Neodiprion lecontei: one gene and its partners. Each later gene encodes a partner of the first gene's protein in a complex. Links are inferred from orthologs where the notes say so. Each region holds a gene or a part of one and is shown on either strand. Other genes may lie near its edges. The genes, in order: negative elongation factor D, negative elongation factor A and negative elongation factor B.

Region 1 (7,743 bases):
TCTACTTCGTATACACAAATATTTAATAAACACAATTTGACCCAGAGAAGAGTCGTTAATTCCAATTGATTTTTTTTTTTTGGCAATACAAAGGCTGCACATGAATTTACCAATTGATTATATTGAATACAATTCGGTTCGGCTTTCATAGATTTTGATCACGTTTTATTGGGTTTCTTAACTACGGCAGTCACACAATTCTCTTAGTATTCCAATTAATAAAAAAACAGTTCACTTGGAATATGGAACAATCAGTCCTGTTTTGTATAGTTACAATACTTTAGTAAAATTTCCAGTTTGAACAGTTCAATTTATTCTAAAAATTCATTGAAATAGTTTGGTAATCCAGTTTTGTAATTTAAAAATCATCCAAATGATTTCTTGCATTTTTATTCATTTATTTTGACCTCATGACTTTGGCCAATGAGCTAATTTCACTATAAGTAAGAAATCCATTTTTATTCACTGTAAAATATAGCTACGAATATCTTTTTTAGTTACAAATTGCATCCTTACTTTTTTTCGTTCCTCATGATGCCTCTCATCTTTATTCATAAATGAATATTGCAATGGGTTAACAATATACTTTAGAAATCCGTGACCGATTCGAAGCTTTGCCTTTTGATTCAATCATAGCAGTTGAAGGATTAAAAGTTCAGATGTACTCCAAAGATTTTCACAAAATACTAAAATGTGACCCTTAATTTTAATATTTCTGATTTCTATTATCTGAGTAATTTTGTACCTTTTACAGCCGATAAATACTAAAGTCATCAATACGTAAGTTTATAGTTTCAAGTGTGATAAAACAAAAAACGCAAGTACTTGCATTTTGAAATGTTGTGAAAGTGTGAACTGATGTGTTATAATAATAATTATTTTAATCATTTACAAGTATCTATGTTTCATTATTAATCACGCATGGGACTTGATTACAATTTCGTGAAAACTAACCATCTGATTCAAGATTTTAAGCAACTAATCCTTTTGTCCAAACAATCAACAATTGATTATTGAATTAATACCATTTGAAGGCATGCAATATCGGTTGAGAATTGAATTTTTTCCCTAAAACGAACGAAGCCCTAATTATGCACAGACTGAGAGTTATGACTAAGATAGACTGAATAATTTTTTGAAAAATCGGTATGATTTATTTCAACTTCAGTAAAAGTTTAACATGTTCATTTTATTGTACGGTGGTAAAATCTTTACCTAAGTTCCAGTTATTTCGCAGCTGTATACAGCCATCTGACCAGGCTACGTCTTGACTATTGGACTCTTAGTCTCCGCCATTGGTCTTATTATCCTATTATATCGCTCTTGCGTGTAGTGGATCATGTGCATAATAGTTGACAGAGAGTAGAAAGTCCTTGTCATGATCGAATAGTCGAAGTAGCCTGATCCTGTCAGTCAAGTAGATGACACTCTACTGCCATCATATTACTAATCAATAGTATGATAAACTAATAAATATTCAAAAAAAAAAAAAACTTGAATTAACTAATTTCTGTTTAAAATGAATAACTTTGTTTCAGAGCAATAAACTACAACATTGTGGCACCATAGGGCAGTTCACCTGATGAATGCGGGTTGATTAAGAGTAATTCATGTATGATTATACCAGTTGTTATGTAAAATAAACACATCTTCACACAACCGGTAAATTTATTCTTTCGGTTCTCCATGAGCACTGGCGTCTCTGTTCTTTAACCGTCATCTCACAGCTGTGCCACTGTGTGCCTTGCAGTGAACTGAAAACAATGAAATGAATAGTACAACACTGTGTAAAGAGTAACACTTTGATGGTATTCAATTTGATGATGTAATGTTGGGCCAACGAACCTATGAACTCAGAAACAAGGTCGTTATCACCATCGCCACGCATCGTGCCTGTTATCTCATCATCTTCCACCATAGGTAAAAATAGTTGGATAAATTCCGGAGTGTATGGTGGTGCAATAGCCTCTAAAACCTAAAATGCAGATACAGATTTAGTAAAAATATAAAAAACACAGATTGCTGGAAAAGCCAAATCGGTGCTTACCTCGGTGACAAAATATCTAATAAGGGAAACGTCAGTGTCACTGCGTTGCCAGCACTGCTTAATATAGCATACAACAGGGACAACACATCCTCGACTCAATAAATTGACCATTCGGTCTATCAGCATCTTTTTCATCTCCAACTGAAATATTATAAGTTTGTCAAATACTGGGTCTTGCAATAATCGTTTATAGGAAGAGGCTTGCAAACTGTGAAACTGTGGGAAGTCTGCCTTGCTCTAGAAACTTGTAATTTCACACAGATACTAAAAATGTCTAAATTTAGGTAATAGTATTATGCGATAAAAATATAACAACTGGTAACTAGGTATTCACCTGAACAAGTATTTCGAGTTCATCCTGTTTGCTCTCAAATAACTGCACCAAGAGTTGAAGCACTTTTGGATGTAAGAGAGGATGACAGGCTACAACCTCGTCCAGAAGAGCCAAATGTATAGGACAGTGTTCTGTGCTCAATTTAAAATACGATGGTTCTGTTACCGTACATGCAACCCATCTGATCACACCAACGCTCACCACTGGAAATCTGTAATTACACATTTTATAGTTTTCTACCAATCAATCGTTTTGGAATTACGAAGCGTATGATTGCTTTGAGCTCAGATTGTGCTTACCTAATGCACTGATACAACGTGTTCAACTCGGCTATCAGTTCAGTTGAACCTTTATTAATATTGCAAATGTTATGAACTTTCTCGATGGCTTGCATCGTGGTTTTTAATTCATCTTTGTTGATCTTTCGTTGTGTTCCCTTCTTGGCTGGTGTTTCGCAAACACTAGCTGCATATGCCAGCAAGTTAATATACTTTGATTTATGCTCTGGGTTTACCTTTACTCCTGGCTTAAATAGAGCATCAACCAATAATTCTGTAGAATATTATACGACAATGAATATAGTAAAATAAAATTGTCCTGATTCACAGAAAAATAGATTTTCTTCAATCGACCGACTTCAATTTTTACTAAAACCTTCCAATTTTTACAGAGTTTCTAAATGCCAAAAATGTATTGCTACCTTGCCATTATATGTGACTCATAAAACATTTTTAGTTCAGTTCAAACTTTTTCACACATTTCAAAACTTTTCTAGAACCAATAAAATTTTGTCAAACTTGGAAGATTTCTAAATATGCGATTTTTACAGCTTCCATAACTATCTGTATTCCGTAATTATCAGTCTTATTTTTTTTTTATAACTAGTACGATTTTTAAGGGAGAATAACAGAATTAGACAATTGAATATTTACCTAAAAATTGAGGATTCCGAATTAATTCAACCGGAGGAGGTTCTGGGTTGGAGTAATTCCTAAACAATACTGTTATATCAGCCGGATTCAAAGTATTTCGTGATAACATCGAACCTAAGGCTTGACAAGCGCTTGGACTACCAGCTGCTCCGTTTAATGCCATTGTTATGGGAGTTACATCGTGACGGCTGAAAACGTATTCGTTGTCATGTACCAGTAGATCACATTAACCACAAATAAAACTGAATGATTTTTCTTACTTCTGTTGAGCGCACTTCGTAATCTCTTGTGAAAGTCGTTTCATTGTAAAACCGCCCCGAGGTTCTTGTGCTAAAATTTGTAACAATACTTGACTGTACACATATGTATGTTGCCCATGACAAACCATTTTCTGTAAGTAAAATTTTATGGATCATGAGTGATGTTTATGATTTTTGGCGGTCTGAAAAAAATGTTACTTCTTTTATTCTTATTATGAGGAACAACTTACGGCACATTCCTGTATGCTAGATTGCCAGTCCTCGGTATTTTGAAGGAATCCTGCAATGGCAGTTTTTAATACTCTCGAGAATACTTCTATTTGTTGTGCAGCTGTTGAAATGCTTGTTATTTCTCCTTGGAATCCAGCATCAGATATAAGCTAAGAGAAATGTCGTAATGGAAATGGATTATTTGATAACTTGCTATGTAGAGTATACATGATATTTTTACATCAATTATGTATAGTAGCAATTCGTGCAAACAGCAATTTTGCGCAAGGAATAACTATCACAATATCAATTATGAAATACTGGGAAGCTTTAACAAACTTATTAGCAGGTAAATAAATATTTTAAATGTTCTAATGAAATATAATTATGATTACTCACTTTTATGGTAAAATTTAACATCAAGCAATCAGGATATTCTTCAGCAAGTCTATAAATCAGTGAACGCCAAGTAGGATGTTGTATCATCTCTGTTAACCAGGCTGGAGTCTGTAAAGTAGAACAGAAATTTATTTACAAAATGATACATTTCAAGATTTTGAAACTAAGCACGAATGAAATTTGGAAAAAAAATTATAACTCACTTCACCCTCCTCAGTGAAAATTTTGTCAGCCTTTTTTGGATCAAACGTTTTAAGAATCATGTCTTTGAGATTATTTTCTACCATAGCTTGTACATCCGTTACTTTTACACCAGCAAGAATTAACCATTCGGCCAGAAGATTTGCCATCTGAGCACATGCCGTATAATTTTGAGACAATAATTCAATAACTTGTTCGGGATTACCGCCTGCTTGGAAATATCTGAAAGAAAATACTCAATTGAGATGATTTTCATATGCTTCACCAAGTGTGGATAGGCTTGGTCTTGTGTAAATAACCAATCGTAAGAACAGATAAATACAAATATACCAAAATGAAGCAAAAAACAAAATTAAATAGGAATTGTAAATTCAATGACCTCTCGGTTTGCTAGTCTTACCGTTTCAACTGAGTGAATATACCAGGCTCCATGATGTAGTCCGGCGTTTTAAACTTGTCCAAACATTCTTTAAGAACATCTTGAGGATTATCTGTTCCATCGTCACCTCCAAAATCGTCTGGGCCACCTCTACCCATGTCGTCTCCCCATCCTCCTCGATCCTCATCATAATCAGTCTCCATCTAGAATATTAAACACTTTATTGACAGATAGCTATTTGGTTATTCGATATTTAATAGAAATTAAAATTCAACGTATCTGGACTTTATACTTGTTACTTCGCTGAGAGAATTTCGAACAATTAAAAAAATATGAATATATGTTTAGATAGGACATGTTTCCTCAAGTACATATGCAATAAATAAAATATACATAATTTTGGAGAAATTATAGGTGAAGAGTAGGTTCTATAGTTTCATATGGGATTAGGGACAATGTTTAAGTCAACGCCAAGTTTTCTTTGCATTGTTAGCGATGAATGGTTGCTCAAATTTTTTAAATTCCAAAAAGCATCACTAACAGTACAATAAAGCTAAAATATGTAACTTGACAATTAGCTTTAGAGCTAGCATTACCCGTGTACTTAAAGTATACTGGCACAAGTAATTGCCTAATTTCAATCAAGAATGTCCTAAGATTTACTCAACTCCTTTGGATTGAAGTTTCTAAGATTATTTAAGGGTTTGTAACAGATAATTGTCAGTCAAAAGGAAATGCAAATAACCATTGCGAGCGATACGTGAAAACTGAGGTGCAATAAATTAACTTGCAAGAAGAAATGGTGGCATTAATAAACAAGAAATGAAAGATTGTATTAACTAACGCTGTGGTGTTTTCACAACAAGTCAACGGCAATTTTCAAGCTAAAGCTATCATCAAATTTGAGGTTAGAAATGTATTTGATGATGAAAAGTAGCTGCAATGTAGAGAAAATAGACAGTAATCCGGAGAAAATCACACGTCCGGTTGCAGTAGGAATATGTCTATATCTCTAGACGTATAGATAGAAAATTGATAGACTTTTACTGGATAAAATGAAGATTCTTACATCTCGCGCGTCAAATCGTATCAAGCGTTTCCCTCACAAATTCTTGTTATGGATCTGTACAGCAGTGAGCTGAGTGAGCTTCCAGTTAATCGCCTCGATCTTGGCCGCCATTTTCTAACGAAAAAAAATAGAGGGAAATTTTGAACACATATAAGTAGGTAGACACGTTATTGATAATAAAGAAACATATTACAAGCTAATTTTCAGCAGAAACGTTTATATAAGATATTTTTGAGAAAATATTCAGGATGTTATCATATTTGAGAAACCTGATCTAGTAAAAATGATGAAGTTGGAGAATAAATTGAAGTGACTCGGTCAATAAAATAGAACTACTACATAACCTCCGGTGAGTTTTTTTGTTTCAACACAATGCAGGGTCGACGAAATGCAACCCGATGACGCTCTTGTGCAATTCGATTATTCAGCGGACGCCAAGTGCAAATTCAAATTTCAGTTCTCGCTGGGTCGACGCGCGCGTTCAGTTTCAGTTGTCATTTGCGCTTGGTGCGCGCGGTTCTGCATCGTCCCGAGCAATGATACATCGATCATAACCTCATTAATAATTTTTCAGTATAATTGGATTCCCCGTATTCGTCATGTAAGCTTTTTTTTATGTAAGACTGGGTGTAATCGAGTTGTTGTGATCGTTCGTCGTCAAAGAACTGGTGCGTACTGTGCTTCTCACAGTACTGAATTCAAAGGGTGTATCGACTGAATATTCCTAGATGTCAAAAATATTTCTGACAGTTCAGTCTCCCATCATCCTCTCGGTTGCATCAATTAAGTGTTCAATTTTTCCAGTTGTAAAGAATCGCGCAACGGAACGACATGGCCATTTGATCAAGTCAACTATAAAACACGTAGGTATTTTTATACGTATAAATACAGTGATTGATATATACAATTCTACAAGTTTTCCACCTGGTTTCAATGAAATTTAATTCAAGGTGAACGTCCCAATTTCTAATCATTTTTATAAGGGTAGTGGCAATGTTTTCATGAATGTAACTAACGCAGTGAAAAAACGAAAAGTGTACAAATTTTCACATATTGATGTAAATCTCTAGTTTTTTCAAATTACTGCATAAATACGAAAACTTGGAACTAGATGAAAGAAAATTCAAACGGCACGTAGTACAAAAATATGACCATTTCTGATTAATCGAAAAATTCGCACAAACGGTTTTTCATTCATGACGTCTAATTAATTTGTATTAAAAAACAATCTTTAAGGTACTTCAACGCACAGCTTAAACCATATCATTCGTTCCATATGTTAAATCAGATCTTAAGGAATCAGAAATTGGATCAACTATCTTGCAAGGCGATTGAAAACCTCCAGTGTGCTATAAGTACCTACTTAGGAAGCCAAAACTAGTTGTAGGATGTGATTTGGTATTGATACCTTTGTTGCCACGTTTCAAACAGAGCTAGCAGTCTTATCACTCGCATTGATAACATTCTTAGCAGGTGTTTATTGTATCCAGCTGCCACACCAAGACAAACTTCATAGATCTGTAATTTCTAAAATAATCAGATTGAACTTGATAATCAAATTATCGATATGAAGTTGCATTAAATGGCAATCAATGCAAAACAAATAGTTGATTCTAAACCACTGACAATTTGAGAAATACAAAAAAACTATAAAAATTTCCATTAAAACAATTGAAAGTTTAAAAAATGGCATAGAAATTATTGTTTAATGTTACAAAAGTTGATCTAAATTTACCGAGTCTTTGTGTAGATACAATACTTCCTAGTTCTGTTCCTTATAAGTAAAAGAAAAAAAAGTAGAGTAGAATATTAGATTATTTCAGTAAACGTCAATAATCCAAATCGTCTATGTTGTCAATTACATTTAAACGCAAAGTAAAAAAAAAAAGAAACCAATCCAAGTTTTAAGTAT
Region 2 (4,630 bases), about 5.5 Mb from region 1:
AAAAAAATTGTTACAGCTTATTAGTCATACAGCTAATGGCTCCAACGAAATGTCTAAAATTCAGTATCATTTCAAGTATTAGTTGATAATTAATCTAATCTCACTTGTATCAGTCATTTTCCTGGGCATTCCACGACTTCGTACTGGCACAGTTGGGGCTGCACTTTTTTTCATATTACTAGCTGCATCTGCACTCTTTTGTAACAATTCCGCACGCAGAGCAGCACTCTTGGGTTTCCTCTTGAGTGTGAAATGCTTGATAGATGCTGGCTGCTGCCCAACGACTGATGTCAATGCTGTTTTATTCAAATAGTGGCATTCTAGCGGAAGCATAGCTGCATCACATTGTTTTTTTACCAACTTCCTCAGGTCATTGACTAGTTCACCAAATATTGGACGATGCTCATCAAGATCTGATATGTCAGTGTTCAATGAGCCTGTTGATGGAAATGTTTTCATCGCTTCAGACAGCATCGATACCCATAACTCATTGTCCAGTGATGCTACTTCGATGATTTCTTCCAACTCAATACGCCACTATTTTAAAAAAAAAATGCGTTTACTATGAGTAGTGAAAATATCAAATCAGTGGGGTATTCGAAAACTGCTGAGGCCCATGGTACCATTGATTTTCAAATACATTTCATCAATTTCAGGCAGTTATAAAAAAAATTATAATTTTCCAAAATCGAAGCTGCGGCCGGTGAGTAGGAAAATTCAAAAAATCAGGAAACAATTCGGAAATGTTCCTATTTTCACCCCCGATATAACTTAACCCCAAAAAAAAATAATAAACTCTCCCGAATTGACGAAAACGTTGAATTTTCTAAGTTCAAAGCTGCGGCTGGTGACTAGAAATATTCAAAAAATTATGAAATAATTCAGAAATGTTCCTATTTTCACCCCCAATATAACGCTACAAGTTTCATTAGGGAAAGCGAGAAGATGACTGTGAACATCTGTGTTGAGTGCTGCAACTACTAATCGACAACTGCTAAATCGTCATTGTTTATCAGGAGCTCGTAACTGTCTTGCACATATTTTCACAAATTTCTATGTTTATCCGAGTATTGACACTACTTGACGTATGGTAGAACGTGAGAATCGAAATTTCCAGCTCGGGCGCCCCTGGCCCTTATTCGCCCCTGGATTTCGGAACCTGCGGCTGAAACCTGCAGCTAACTTCAGCGTCGTCCAATAACTGCATCGTTCATCTGATAGTTTCAGTTTTATACTCTGTTATCCGAATAGATGCAATATAAAAGTAACAACGTGTATGTTCGAACAGTAAAATAAGTGCATGCAAGTTACGCGAGAGCCTTACAGGTAAAATTAGGACAAGTGTGAAATCGCTTACACAAATTTCGTCGCTTTTTGTAATTATATCATACACATAAGGTACAAATCAGAGGTTCCAAATTCCGAATGCTCATTCAAACGGTAATCCACTGAAGTTAAAGTTAATATACATTGAGGAAAAAATCAATTTTGTGCAATTTCAGAATAACTTAAATAAAAAATTCATTATATGCTTGTATTTTAATCTACTACAGTTTCCTGAATTCCAAACAATCCTAAAGTTACAAAATAAGGATATTTCCTGAAACTGCATCCTTATAATAACGTTACTAAATTCAATCTCATAAAACTCAAGTAATTTACATCGTTCAAGTCTTCTTGGTACTTTTTCCCACAATTTAAATTATTTACTCATCAATTCATACTAATTGTGGAGAAAACTGTCATGCACACTGAAATCGTTTTGTGAAACAACTAATGTGACATACGGCTGTTAAGATTTTCATTCAAAAGATCGTTTGAAATTTAAAGCACATTACAAATTATACAACTCATGTCTGTTTCAGAGAGTTAGAATTAGTTACAATACTGCGGAGGGAGCAACTTCGTCGAGGCACATAAAATATTGGTGTGAGCAATATATACCTCGGCGTGACTCACATGCAGCCACTTCACCAATGAATTTCCATAGTATAAATAAACACTGTGTCTATTTGCACTACAGAGTGAACTTAGGCAGAATATGCTAAATATGCCAAATGATCGCATGTTAGTAATGTAATCGCATAAGTTTTTTCAAAACATCTGCGGTTTCCGAAGAAATTTTCAAGTGAATGGAATATTTTGGAAATATCATCTCTGAGGGTGACAGACACCGAAAGCGTGTTTCAGACCTCTGGTATATGTTATGATTTTGGATAGTGATAGAATAATATGATTTTTTGAAACTCTACCCGGGGTATAACAGAGATCTAACTTGATTTAGCCTTTATCACTCAATTTTGGCTTGCCACGGATAATCGTTCAGGCACTCAAATATTTTGCAAAACAGTTCGGGACAACTCAACACTTAGTAAGTCCGGAGTGTCCGTTGACGGTTCACTCCATAGTGTGAGTAGACACTTTAATAAATGATATTATCATATACAAATCAAAATGGACATTTTCTCATTGTATAGAATATTTGCACTGACTGAACTGTTGCAAAACTGCAGAAGATTGGCTACCTTTTTCGCAGATAGTTTACACCAGAATTTTCATGCCTAGTAACGGAAAAACAGGAGATATGGTATCAGGTTGAAGAACTACATTTTTGATACAAGTGACAGGCTGGATATAAGAAAAACCGTTGTGACAGATTAAATGAATTGATAAAAAAGATCATTGAACATGGATATCAAGTTCAATTGTGAAAATGGTAACAAAATATGAATACTTATCGACTATTTTATAATAACGATACATACTTCTTCGACATTGCGCCTTTGTAGGTGAAAGAAAGAAAGGAGTAGTTTGAGCTTAACTTGAGTTTGCAAATCCGGAAAGCAATCTTTTATGTTTCGCAAAACTTCGGCGTTTAATTGGGAACAAATTGAGCTGCCAGTCCAGCTATCATTTGACGTGCCGAGCTTATTATGAAGCCACAACGAAGTATCACTATCTCGCACGTTTGCCATATTGAAAATTGTGTAATTAAATTCTGTATGGCCTGAGCCACGATCTTACATACAGGTCTGAAAATCTGGTGCTGGGGGGCGACTCACTTCTTGAATCCGCTTTCAATAATTCTTACATTGGTCGCAAGGGTCGCTGTAACCTAGTACGGTCACCACCACCCGTGTCGCCGCCCTCTCCCCCCCCCCCCCCCCCCTCCCAGCAGCGACGCCAATGAGCGACAGGGATAGAAAAAATTTCTTTCTGTTGTAACATCCGACCGGAACGTCCGTATGTTTTATCGACTATTATTACTGCATGTTACTTTTATCAACTAACCAAACTCAAAGTACGAGAATCTTGTAACCATAAGAAACTAAAACAACTGTCTAACTATTTGGAATATCCCTAGATGGAAATAACTATGAAATTCACTAGCCAAGGCTTAAAAACCATGTTACGAGATCTTCGTACTACCAGAGATGAGTAGGGAGATCTCCAACGCTCGGCTTTTCGTGATACCAGCTAGGTTGGAGCGTCGACGTGACACCTAGGCGGCCACGCACCGAAGGTGGCCCATTTCCGACCTGACACCTAGGCGGCCATGCACTCGGTCGCTCGAGCAAGCGGTTGCCAATCGCATCCTTGTCCCCGCTCGCACAGATGTTTCCAGGAATGCAAGGATTGGGATTTTTTTGTTTCAATTATGAATGTCAGCGAATAAAAGTATCTCCAGATTTGATAAATTTTGGATTCAATTAGCGGACGCTGAACCAAAATAATTAACCATTCCCAGCCCCAATACTTTTTTTTTTTTTTTTTTAATAAATATTATTTTTTTATTGATATGAAAATATGTGACGCCTGGTGTTCTCGAATATTTGTACACGCAGTCTATGGAAAAATATACGAAGCCAGCTCGATAACATTTATGCAAAATGTGCAATGGGCAAGTGGTTGGAGGAAATTTTTTTTTTCTCGAACTGAATCTTCCAGAGAACCATCAGCGAATTCCAAGCAAGCTCCATAAACATACCGAGCAAACGCGCGATCACGGACGTAGCTGTGGTGTGGCTGAGTGGATACCACATGAGGATGAATTTTCAATCACAGGTTCTTGCGCGAAGTTTTCCTGTATTTAAGTTAATTACTGCTGCCTCTGCTATAATACTGCATTCAAGTCTTGAACAAAACACTAAAAAACAAGTTAACCACTTAATGTAAAACAAAATGTTAGATTGAGCTTAAAATTTAAGCCGGAGTTACATAAACTAAGATAATTACAAATGCAATATTGTAAATATTGAACATTTAATGTTCATCTAAATAAATATAGTTTCCTCCTCAAAAAAAAAAAAACATGAGGATGGAGTGATGCGAGACACGGGTTCGATCGCAGTTCACTCTTTTTTTTTTCTTTTTTTTTAAATTCAATCCCGGCTTTTTTTTGTATTTTCGGAGAGAAAAAAAAATCAAAGAAAGAAAATTTCGAGAGCCGGTCGATTTTTTCCTTCTTTCCTTTTGCTTTTTTTTTTACTGAACCCACCTTTTTTGTAGTGGGGGTAACCCGGAAGAGAACAAATAATTGAAACAATAAAATTCCGAGAGCGAATCGATTTGTTCCCCGTTTTTAACACAGGGAAACGATACGTGATATAGTGAGAACTAAAAAAAATGA
Region 3 (6,860 bases), on another chromosome or scaffold:
AGTAGCAGTGATATTTTACTTGTGTATGTAACGTAATATCATCACTGAGGTACAATTTGTTCTTTAATATACTGTAATAAACATTCGTTTCGATTTAAAATCGCTTAATTGTGACAACTATCGATAGATTAGTTCAACTCCTCGCATATGATAAATTTTCTCACAAATTATTTAATACTCAGTACAAAATATATTGCGTCATTTGATGACAGAGCCATGTAATTCGATTAAACGTTTCACATCACATTACAATGGATTAAAAAATTTTTAAAAATTATGGAGTCATTTTACCATGGGAATAATTGGACTTTATGTCCTTGTTACATAATGTACTATTCTTACTTATAAGAATTATTTACAGTAGCTATTAATGACTTTTTATCTTTGGACACGCACGCACGTGTTCATCCACGTACATCGTAGAGATTTAGTTATTATTTACTACGGGTTGCATGGCAGTGGCTGTTAATAGTGAAAACTACATAAAGTTAGTTCTACAATTTTTCCTTATTACCTATATAGGATGTGAAACTTTGCCAAATGGCAAATTCGTTGCAGTGAATACAAGTATACCTAAATATGCAGTTTTAAGGCATTTAGAGAGACATACATTTCCATTTTCCCTTTGATGTTTTATTTACGATTAATCTGCCCTCAGTAGAAATTATTTGCATCCACATACCTAATTGCAATTATAATGTACATGACAACTGATATGTAGAGGATAAACGCTCTGAATTTGGTTGCAATTTAGGTAATATTTTTAACGTACTGTAAAGCAACCTCGATTTAGTCAAAGTTGGAAATGTTGGTAATCAAACAAGCATGTCATGATATTCTTCACAGCGCTTACAGATTTCCGTGGACATGATTGATACAGAGTAACTCTCCATTTCTACGTTAAAAATATTATAATGAAACTAATATTGACAAATCCAATTTTAGTAGCGGAAAGAAGAAAATAAATTGAAAATATAGGTATGTAACATGACTTGATACAGTTAGGGAGTGCAAAAACTTCAGTAACATTAATTGGAATAGGAAATATGTACAATATTTCTGTTCGATTTAGTCGCACGTTTGGTCGTAAAAAGTAACGTTATATCGAAAATAAATTTGCACCTGATAACATTGGGTTTGCAGCTTATAATTTTAGCGTATCAAGGGTTGAGCCCAATATTTGCAGTCCGATGTTAATAATTTCGGATTATCGAAGAACCATTGTGACAACTATGATTTAACTGAATAGACAATTGGTATACATTGAAATTACCTCGAAACCCTTTCTTCTTTATTCCATCGTAATGACGTTGAAATATAAGACATGGGGCAGACAAATTTTTGAATGAATCGAATATTTTTGTGAACGTTCAACTGTTTTATTTTCTGTTATGTTCATCGCATATAAGTGTAAATTGCGAAATGTAGGTGATAACTATTCTCAACACAACTTGATGCACGCAATGAAAATTGTGAAATAAAATTGTTTTCTAATTATTTTGATAACCCACGTTATTTCTGACAGTTGATGATACATTTGTGATCATATTCAATTTTCAGTGGGGGAAAAGAGGGATTCCGTGATTAAAGGCAAAGGGTGATACGCTAAACAGTTTCATTTTGGCCTTAAATCATACGGATACGCAAGGTGACGTACCATATCATGGGTCAGACATGGTACCATTAAAAAAATATGTACGATGTATTTGTACACGCTACAAGTGTTGTTTCCACATTAGTGATATCCTTAAAGGAAGTCATTGGAAGTAAATAATAAAAATGCCTATCATCTATTGAAAACACATCTGAATCAAGGTGCTTCTTAATACATTCTATTCTGATATTGAATTGCGATACATTCTAATTTGTGTATAATGATAAAACTCTAAATACATCGCATACCCCGTAAAATCCTATTGTCGATGTAAAATAGTTAACGAGGCCCAGGTGTAGGGACAACATCTAGTGGTGAATCAGGGCATTCAAGTGTATCCATAGAAGTTGACGATATCAAAAGATCTTCTGTTGATTGGCTGCCAATTTTTTCTCGGAGAGATTGATAGAGACTATGCACAGCTTCGTTGTGCTGTAAATTATAATAGTTTTATAAATAAGTGACATTGACGTTAACGATGAAACTCCAGTAACGTGAGACCTACCTGGCTATTGGGCTGCAAGGCTTTCATCAGGGAATGTAATCGTGCCGGAGGAAGTTTGGGATGAATGTACCATAAAAGTTTCAAGAGGTGTCGCGTAACATTGTCCCTTGTTAATCCTGCCAGGAAGAATTCGTCGAATATGACGGTGCAAAATGATTCACCGGAAAACTCATCAGCCATATTTAAGATCAGCAGAGATACCTTTGCCAGGAGCAGATTGATTATTTCGTTGTAACAGTCAGGTGCAACATATTCTCGACACTTGTCAACTCACCAGAGTGTGTAAAAATGGATCCTCAAAAGCGCGATGCGCCTGGCAATTTGGTAGCGTTGCCAAGACCCGCATTAAGCCTCTCGCATCACCTCGAGCTCTTCCGCTACTCCCACTTCCACCTCCGCCAACGTATAAAGCGTGATACATGGATAAAACAGCTGCAACTCCAGAAAGTTGAGCGTAAGCTTGACATGCATCTGGAGGTGGTCCAGAGTGCTCAATAATAGCGATAGCACTTTCCCTTTCATCTGGTGGGAGCTTTCCATTTAATTGTCTTATCTGATCATCTACCTATTTTGAAAGGAGTTAATTTGTTACGGCAGTTTGGTAATACTAAGGTTTCAGTTGCAAAATTAATATAGAGTCAAGGAAAATCGTATATCAAGTATCAGACTAACCATGAGAGACATAAGTGCTGGCAGAAACTTCGTCACAACTTGACTGTCAAGTTTCGGCTCCTTAAAATCTTGGGAGTCGATCATTTGCCAGGCTGACAAGCCCAGGGCCAGCATTCTCAGAAGTAGAACAAGGACAGCGTTATCCCGTGGCAGAGCTTCCCCGTTAATTAGATGAAGAGCTATTTTTATTGCGCTACTAGCTAGAAAATTCACGGCGTATGGGTCACACAGTGTCATACTGAGATCCCCAAGTACTTGCTCCTGGCCTCTCTGTGCAAAAAAAATGATCCATTTTTATTGGTCGTTGCTTGAAATTATAGTTTCTTGCTATCGTACCTTGATGCTATCAAGAAATCCTTGTAGTTCTCGAGACCTTTTCACATCCACGTTTTTCTCCCTGATGCAAGCATCCAAGCACCAAGTAAACTTGTGGCATGGATCTACAGATATTATATCTTGAACCTAGAGACCAATCATCAGTTGTTTCATTAATTTGAAGAGAAATTGATACAATGATATTTTTGATTCAAACCTCTAGATCATGCAGTGCCATCAACAACTCAGCCCGAAGAGTACAGTAATGGATATTCTTAGTTCGTAAAAAAAGAGTCCTGAGAAATTGGAGTACCATGTCGTAAAGTTTCACGCTGTGACCTATCATGTGTGCCAGCTTCTGTACCACTTCTCCTTGTCTCCTCACCTTCGAATTAGACCAAGATTTGTTCAAGTCAACTTGGGGAATGTTAGGAAGCAAGTTCGAACTGAATAGCTGATAATAAACGTATTGGTCCGAATTAAACACAATCAGAACTAACCTTGGGCGATGGTGAAAAAAATAAGGCATTCAGGTTCCGATGATCGAACAAAACTTGTTCCTTTTCAATGATGTAGCGACTGAAAAGAGGCGATACCTCATCTCCGAAAAGACTTTGATTGTCCTTCCAGATCTGTCGTTTCACCTCCGTGTCAGCGTCATTGTAAAGTTCCTTTTCCCTAACCAGTACTCGTAGGTATTTGTCATCGATATGAGGGGTATTTCTTAAAATACACATAACGACTGGCCTGAGCGCGGCAACTCTAACGGCAGGAAAGCTCTTGGCCAACAGATCCTTAAGCCTACGGTCGCTTCCCCCCTTTTCCCCTCGCTCAGCCCCAATCTCGGCTATCCGCTTCACAAGTTTTTCTCTAAGCTCTTCTAATACCGAGGCGTGAAAGTCCAGCCTTCTGACGCCGTGGAGGTCCAATAGCGGTAACATTGGACGTAACGAAGGCAATAGAATACCATTTTCTAACTGGAATCTTCGGATTAGTAAGTATACTCATGCCAAGATTGTAATCGCTTGATTTAACCAGTCAACAATAGCGCCGAGTATTTACCTGGAACTCCTCAATGGCTTTCAGGGGATCGGTGCAACTGGTCAGAGCATCTCTGAGAAACACTTGGCCTGGAACTCCGAGATCCTCTAATCCCGTACCCTCCGTACTTTTGGTCGCACTCATTTTCACAGCCCACAAATATACGGTGTTTCCATCAAGGGACAGCGGTTCTGTATTCAAACCGACTTAACCTAACCTATCCTAACCTAAATAAATACAGAACTGTTCAAAGCTGAGCGTTGAACCACGTTTGACGGTTGTACATTGGCGGCTGGCAGGACAACGACAATTGTTTACAACAGTAGAATTATGAATGACTAGTCTTTCTTCTTTCCAAGATTGTTGTGCCGTCTTCCTGTTGAATATAAAATTCGTATCAATACCGAAAAATTAGAAATCGGTATTACCGGGTATTTTACTGAAAGTATCGCAGTTTTATATACATATGTTACGGAAATGAATGGCCTATAAGGCGTCTAGCATTCACCAACAAATAAGCAACTCAATAGACATGGAAATTATTTATCTGATCCGACGCACTGCGACGCACTATAGTTGACTATAGTCTAGTCGGTCGTCAACGGTCTAGCTATATTTATATGTATACAAGGATATCATACTATACCTCTACAATTGTCAGTCAAATTCAAACTTGTGACGCTAAATTTAAAAGCCGCGACACTTTTTATGATTGTTTGTAGCGTTGCTGGTAATCGTGTAAAAAATGATATGCTAAAAAGATGAATCAGCTCGATTGCGCGCCCATTTATAGTAAATTTTGACCGCGTATTTTTGATCTCGCTCCTGTCTTTGATTCTCCTAGTATATTTGGCAGTAATGCAACGTGATGGCCGCAAGTGTCGCGCGCGTCAGGTTGCAACAACGGGGTACTAAGCGAAAATAAATTCGTTTTTTTTCTAACTTTAAACAGGTTGAACAAGTACGATACAACAATGTCACGCTGAATTGATATACGTAGAAACGCGAGTTACTCAATTAGCATGTTCGCCGTTCCCGATGTCTTATCTGTGTAAAATTTATACCAATTCAAAAGTGCATTGGACGCAAAAACCGATCGGTCGAGCGATCGTTCTTTCTGCTGCTGCTGCTGCTGCTGCTGCTGCTGGCTGCTGTTGTGGGGTGGAATTCCGTTTACTGGGGTGGTGGCACCCGTCTGCCTTCCTCGACAGGTTATGTTTCCGACTTTCATCGGGATTTTAGGTGAGCCCAATATATCCGAAGCCAACTTCAGTTTAGCATCGCCGCGTACCAACCGACAGGATAACCAAAAATCGGACGCATTTTACCGGAATCAATTAGTGTTATCCAGTCGAGAATAAACACAGAACTTGCATTTCAAAACGACTGAGCGCGAAATGAAATCCGCACATTTCTAATGTTCACTTATTTTGTTTTCCTTTTTTTTTTTTTTTTGTTCTACCTTCAAAACGAGAAAGAATCTTCCAGTGACAGATGTGATGATAAGTGAATCGTGCCTGTGTCAATCGTAGTAGTTTGAACAGCGTTTACCAAACTGTAACTAGAATCAATGATGTGTTCTACTTTCTACTGGATGTGCCGCTAGATATGTGTCAGTTTTCCAATCATACCTGGTCGACTCAACGTTTTACAATTTCCTGAAACCTCCAGAGTTGAATAACCAATCTTGTGTTATTTAAAAACTTGCTGCAAATTTTTTACTCGCTTGTTTCTGTCTCCAGACATTCAATCGTGGTGGGAGGTGCCAAGTATCGCACATTTCTGCTCATTGTTTAGGGCTGCCTTCAATCTGCTGGACTTTGACATCGAGGTATCTAGTTCAATGCAAAAGTCGTGTATCGAATTAGCTAAATCAAATAGAATTTATAGAATTTTACTATAATTGTTTCTTGAGGCAGGATTTCCTGTTTGGTTAAACTCAATTTCTATCATCATAATCGTTCTGTCTAATTCTGTTCTTTGAAATGATTCATTAATAGAAAATGGAAATATTTGCACTTATTTTTCTTCCAGGATTTGGAAGAAGCTCTTCTCACAGACGGCGGTACAGAAGGCCGGCTATTGCAAGAACTAATTGTCAGATTACTTGAAGGCTGTCTACCAAATGACACTCGCAATGACATCTCTACTTTTAATTATCAGATGTTCCTCCGTAGACTCTTTAGAAAAAAGTGTCAAGTGAGTGTCTAGCTTCCAAAGTAGATTAGAGTATGTACATTAAAATTTGATGTCTGAAAGACCAATTCCTCATTTCTGATATGAACTACACCATCTAAATCAGTCTTGTGAACAGTACTCCGATTGATAGTACAATAATATATTCAACGAGTAAATAAAGTAACTAGTACCAAAAAAGTGAGAGCCTGACTGTGCTACTTTTGAATTTACTCGTTTCATAAGCTTTATCAATTTTATCCAGGGTGCTAGACAATTACTGTCAATGTAATTGAAAATTTGATGTACACTTTCTCTTCAAAATATTTTGGAGTCTACAGGTTATACAACTGAACAGAATTTATGAGCTATCTTTCATTACAGGAATATGGAAGAGATAATCCTTTCAATACGGATGTAGACTTTGAGCTTTTGCCACTACGCCAAAAGGTAGAAATTCTTCGGGCTCTCTGTGACTTCAGGCTTGACGCTGAAGAC

The links.
Region 2: the proteins of negative elongation factor D (region 1) and negative elongation factor A are in contact, whole or in part, in a crystal structure (PDB 5L3X), measured with the Homo sapiens proteins. The link is inferred for Neodiprion lecontei from reciprocal best matches to the Homo sapiens genes NELFCD and NELFA. Residues at the interface, in XP_047296144.1 of Homo sapiens: Cys204, Gln205, Gln206, Leu207, Glu208, Phe210, Ser211, Leu214, Arg215, Leu218, Ala219, Ile221, Leu222, Asp223, Gly225, Glu226, Cys241, His242, Gly243, Glu244, His245, Thr246, Tyr247, Leu248, Phe249, Ala252, Met253, Ser255, Val256, Leu257; in NP_005654.4 of Homo sapiens: Leu23, Trp24, Ala25, Leu54, Leu58, Leu61, His62, Arg65, Pro88, Trp89, Met92, Val93, Ile96, Leu97, Phe100, Gly104, Ser105, Leu106, Leu108, Leu110, Asn116, Val117, Asp119, Ile120, Leu121, Glu123, Leu124, Arg125, Lys127, Val128.
Region 3: the proteins of negative elongation factor D (region 1) and negative elongation factor B are in contact, whole or in part, in a crystal structure (PDB 8JJ6), measured with the Homo sapiens proteins. The link is inferred for Neodiprion lecontei from reciprocal best matches to the Homo sapiens genes NELFCD and NELFB. Residues at the interface, in XP_047296144.1 of Homo sapiens: Arg63, Ile66, Met67, Glu68, Pro69, Ile71, Phe72, Leu75, Ile89, Gln90, Leu92, Ser93, Tyr96, Thr97, Ala98, Val99, Ala100, Gln101, Thr102, Val103, Asn104, Leu105, Leu106, Trp109, Leu110, Gln112, Thr113, Gly114, Val115, Gln121; in NP_056271.3 of Homo sapiens: Met49, Leu53, Leu56, Val58, Ala59, Asn60, Gly61, Leu64, Lys65, Leu68, Thr69, Leu75, Ile78, Glu79, Phe81, Gln82, Glu84, Asn85, Gly86, Val87, Leu88, Leu89, Ser91, Leu92, Ser94, Ala95, Leu96, Pro97, Phe98, Leu99.

Annotation. Positions count from the first base shown.
Region 1 is NC_060266.1:4,411,111-4,418,853, forward strand, and holds negative elongation factor D, read right to left. Parts: upstream 5,955-7,743; 5' UTR 5,832-5,954; intron 4,966-5,831; coding exon 4,784-4,965; intron 4,606-4,783; coding exon 4,386-4,605; intron 4,291-4,385; coding exon 4,183-4,290; intron 3,954-4,182; coding exon 3,804-3,953; intron 3,705-3,803; coding exon 3,574-3,704; intron 3,502-3,573; coding exon 3,314-3,501; intron 2,934-3,313; coding exon 2,681-2,933; intron 2,593-2,680; coding exon 2,382-2,592; intron 2,189-2,381; coding exon 2,048-2,188; intron 1,976-2,047; coding exon 1,846-1,975; intron 1,755-1,845; coding exon 1,717-1,754; 3' UTR 1,547-1,716; coding exon of another isoform or gene 1,539-1,546; 3' UTR 769-1,538; coding exon of another isoform or gene 755-768; 3' UTR 535-754; downstream 1-534. Other genes in the region: protein stunted-like, read left to right, coding at 755-768. UniProt on the Homo sapiens protein: Essential component of the NELF complex, a complex that negatively regulates the elongation of transcription by RNA polymerase II.
Region 2 is NC_060266.1:9,950,585-9,955,214, forward strand, and holds the start of negative elongation factor A, read right to left. Parts: upstream 3,001-4,630; 5' UTR 2,976-3,000; coding exon 2,766-2,975; intron 538-2,765; coding exon 105-537; intron 1-104. UniProt on the Homo sapiens protein: Essential component of the NELF complex, a complex that negatively regulates the elongation of transcription by RNA polymerase II.
Region 3 is NC_060261.1:556,037-562,896, forward strand, and holds negative elongation factor B, read right to left. Parts: upstream 5,014-6,860; 5' UTR 4,834-5,013; intron 4,783-4,833; exon of another isoform or gene 4,564-4,782; 5' UTR 4,332-4,563; coding exon 4,209-4,331; intron 4,131-4,208; exon of another isoform or gene 4,124-4,130; coding exon 3,647-4,123; intron 3,532-3,646; coding exon 3,364-3,531; intron 3,294-3,363; coding exon 3,168-3,293; intron 3,102-3,167; coding exon 2,832-3,101; intron 2,725-2,831; coding exon 2,434-2,724; intron 2,361-2,433; coding exon 2,160-2,360; intron 2,087-2,159; coding exon 1,934-2,086; 3' UTR 516-1,933; downstream 1-515. Other genes in the region: PHD finger protein rhinoceros, read left to right, coding at 5,402-5,429, 5,930-6,018, 6,222-6,386, 6,747-6,860. UniProt on the Homo sapiens protein: Essential component of the NELF complex, a complex that negatively regulates the elongation of transcription by RNA polymerase II.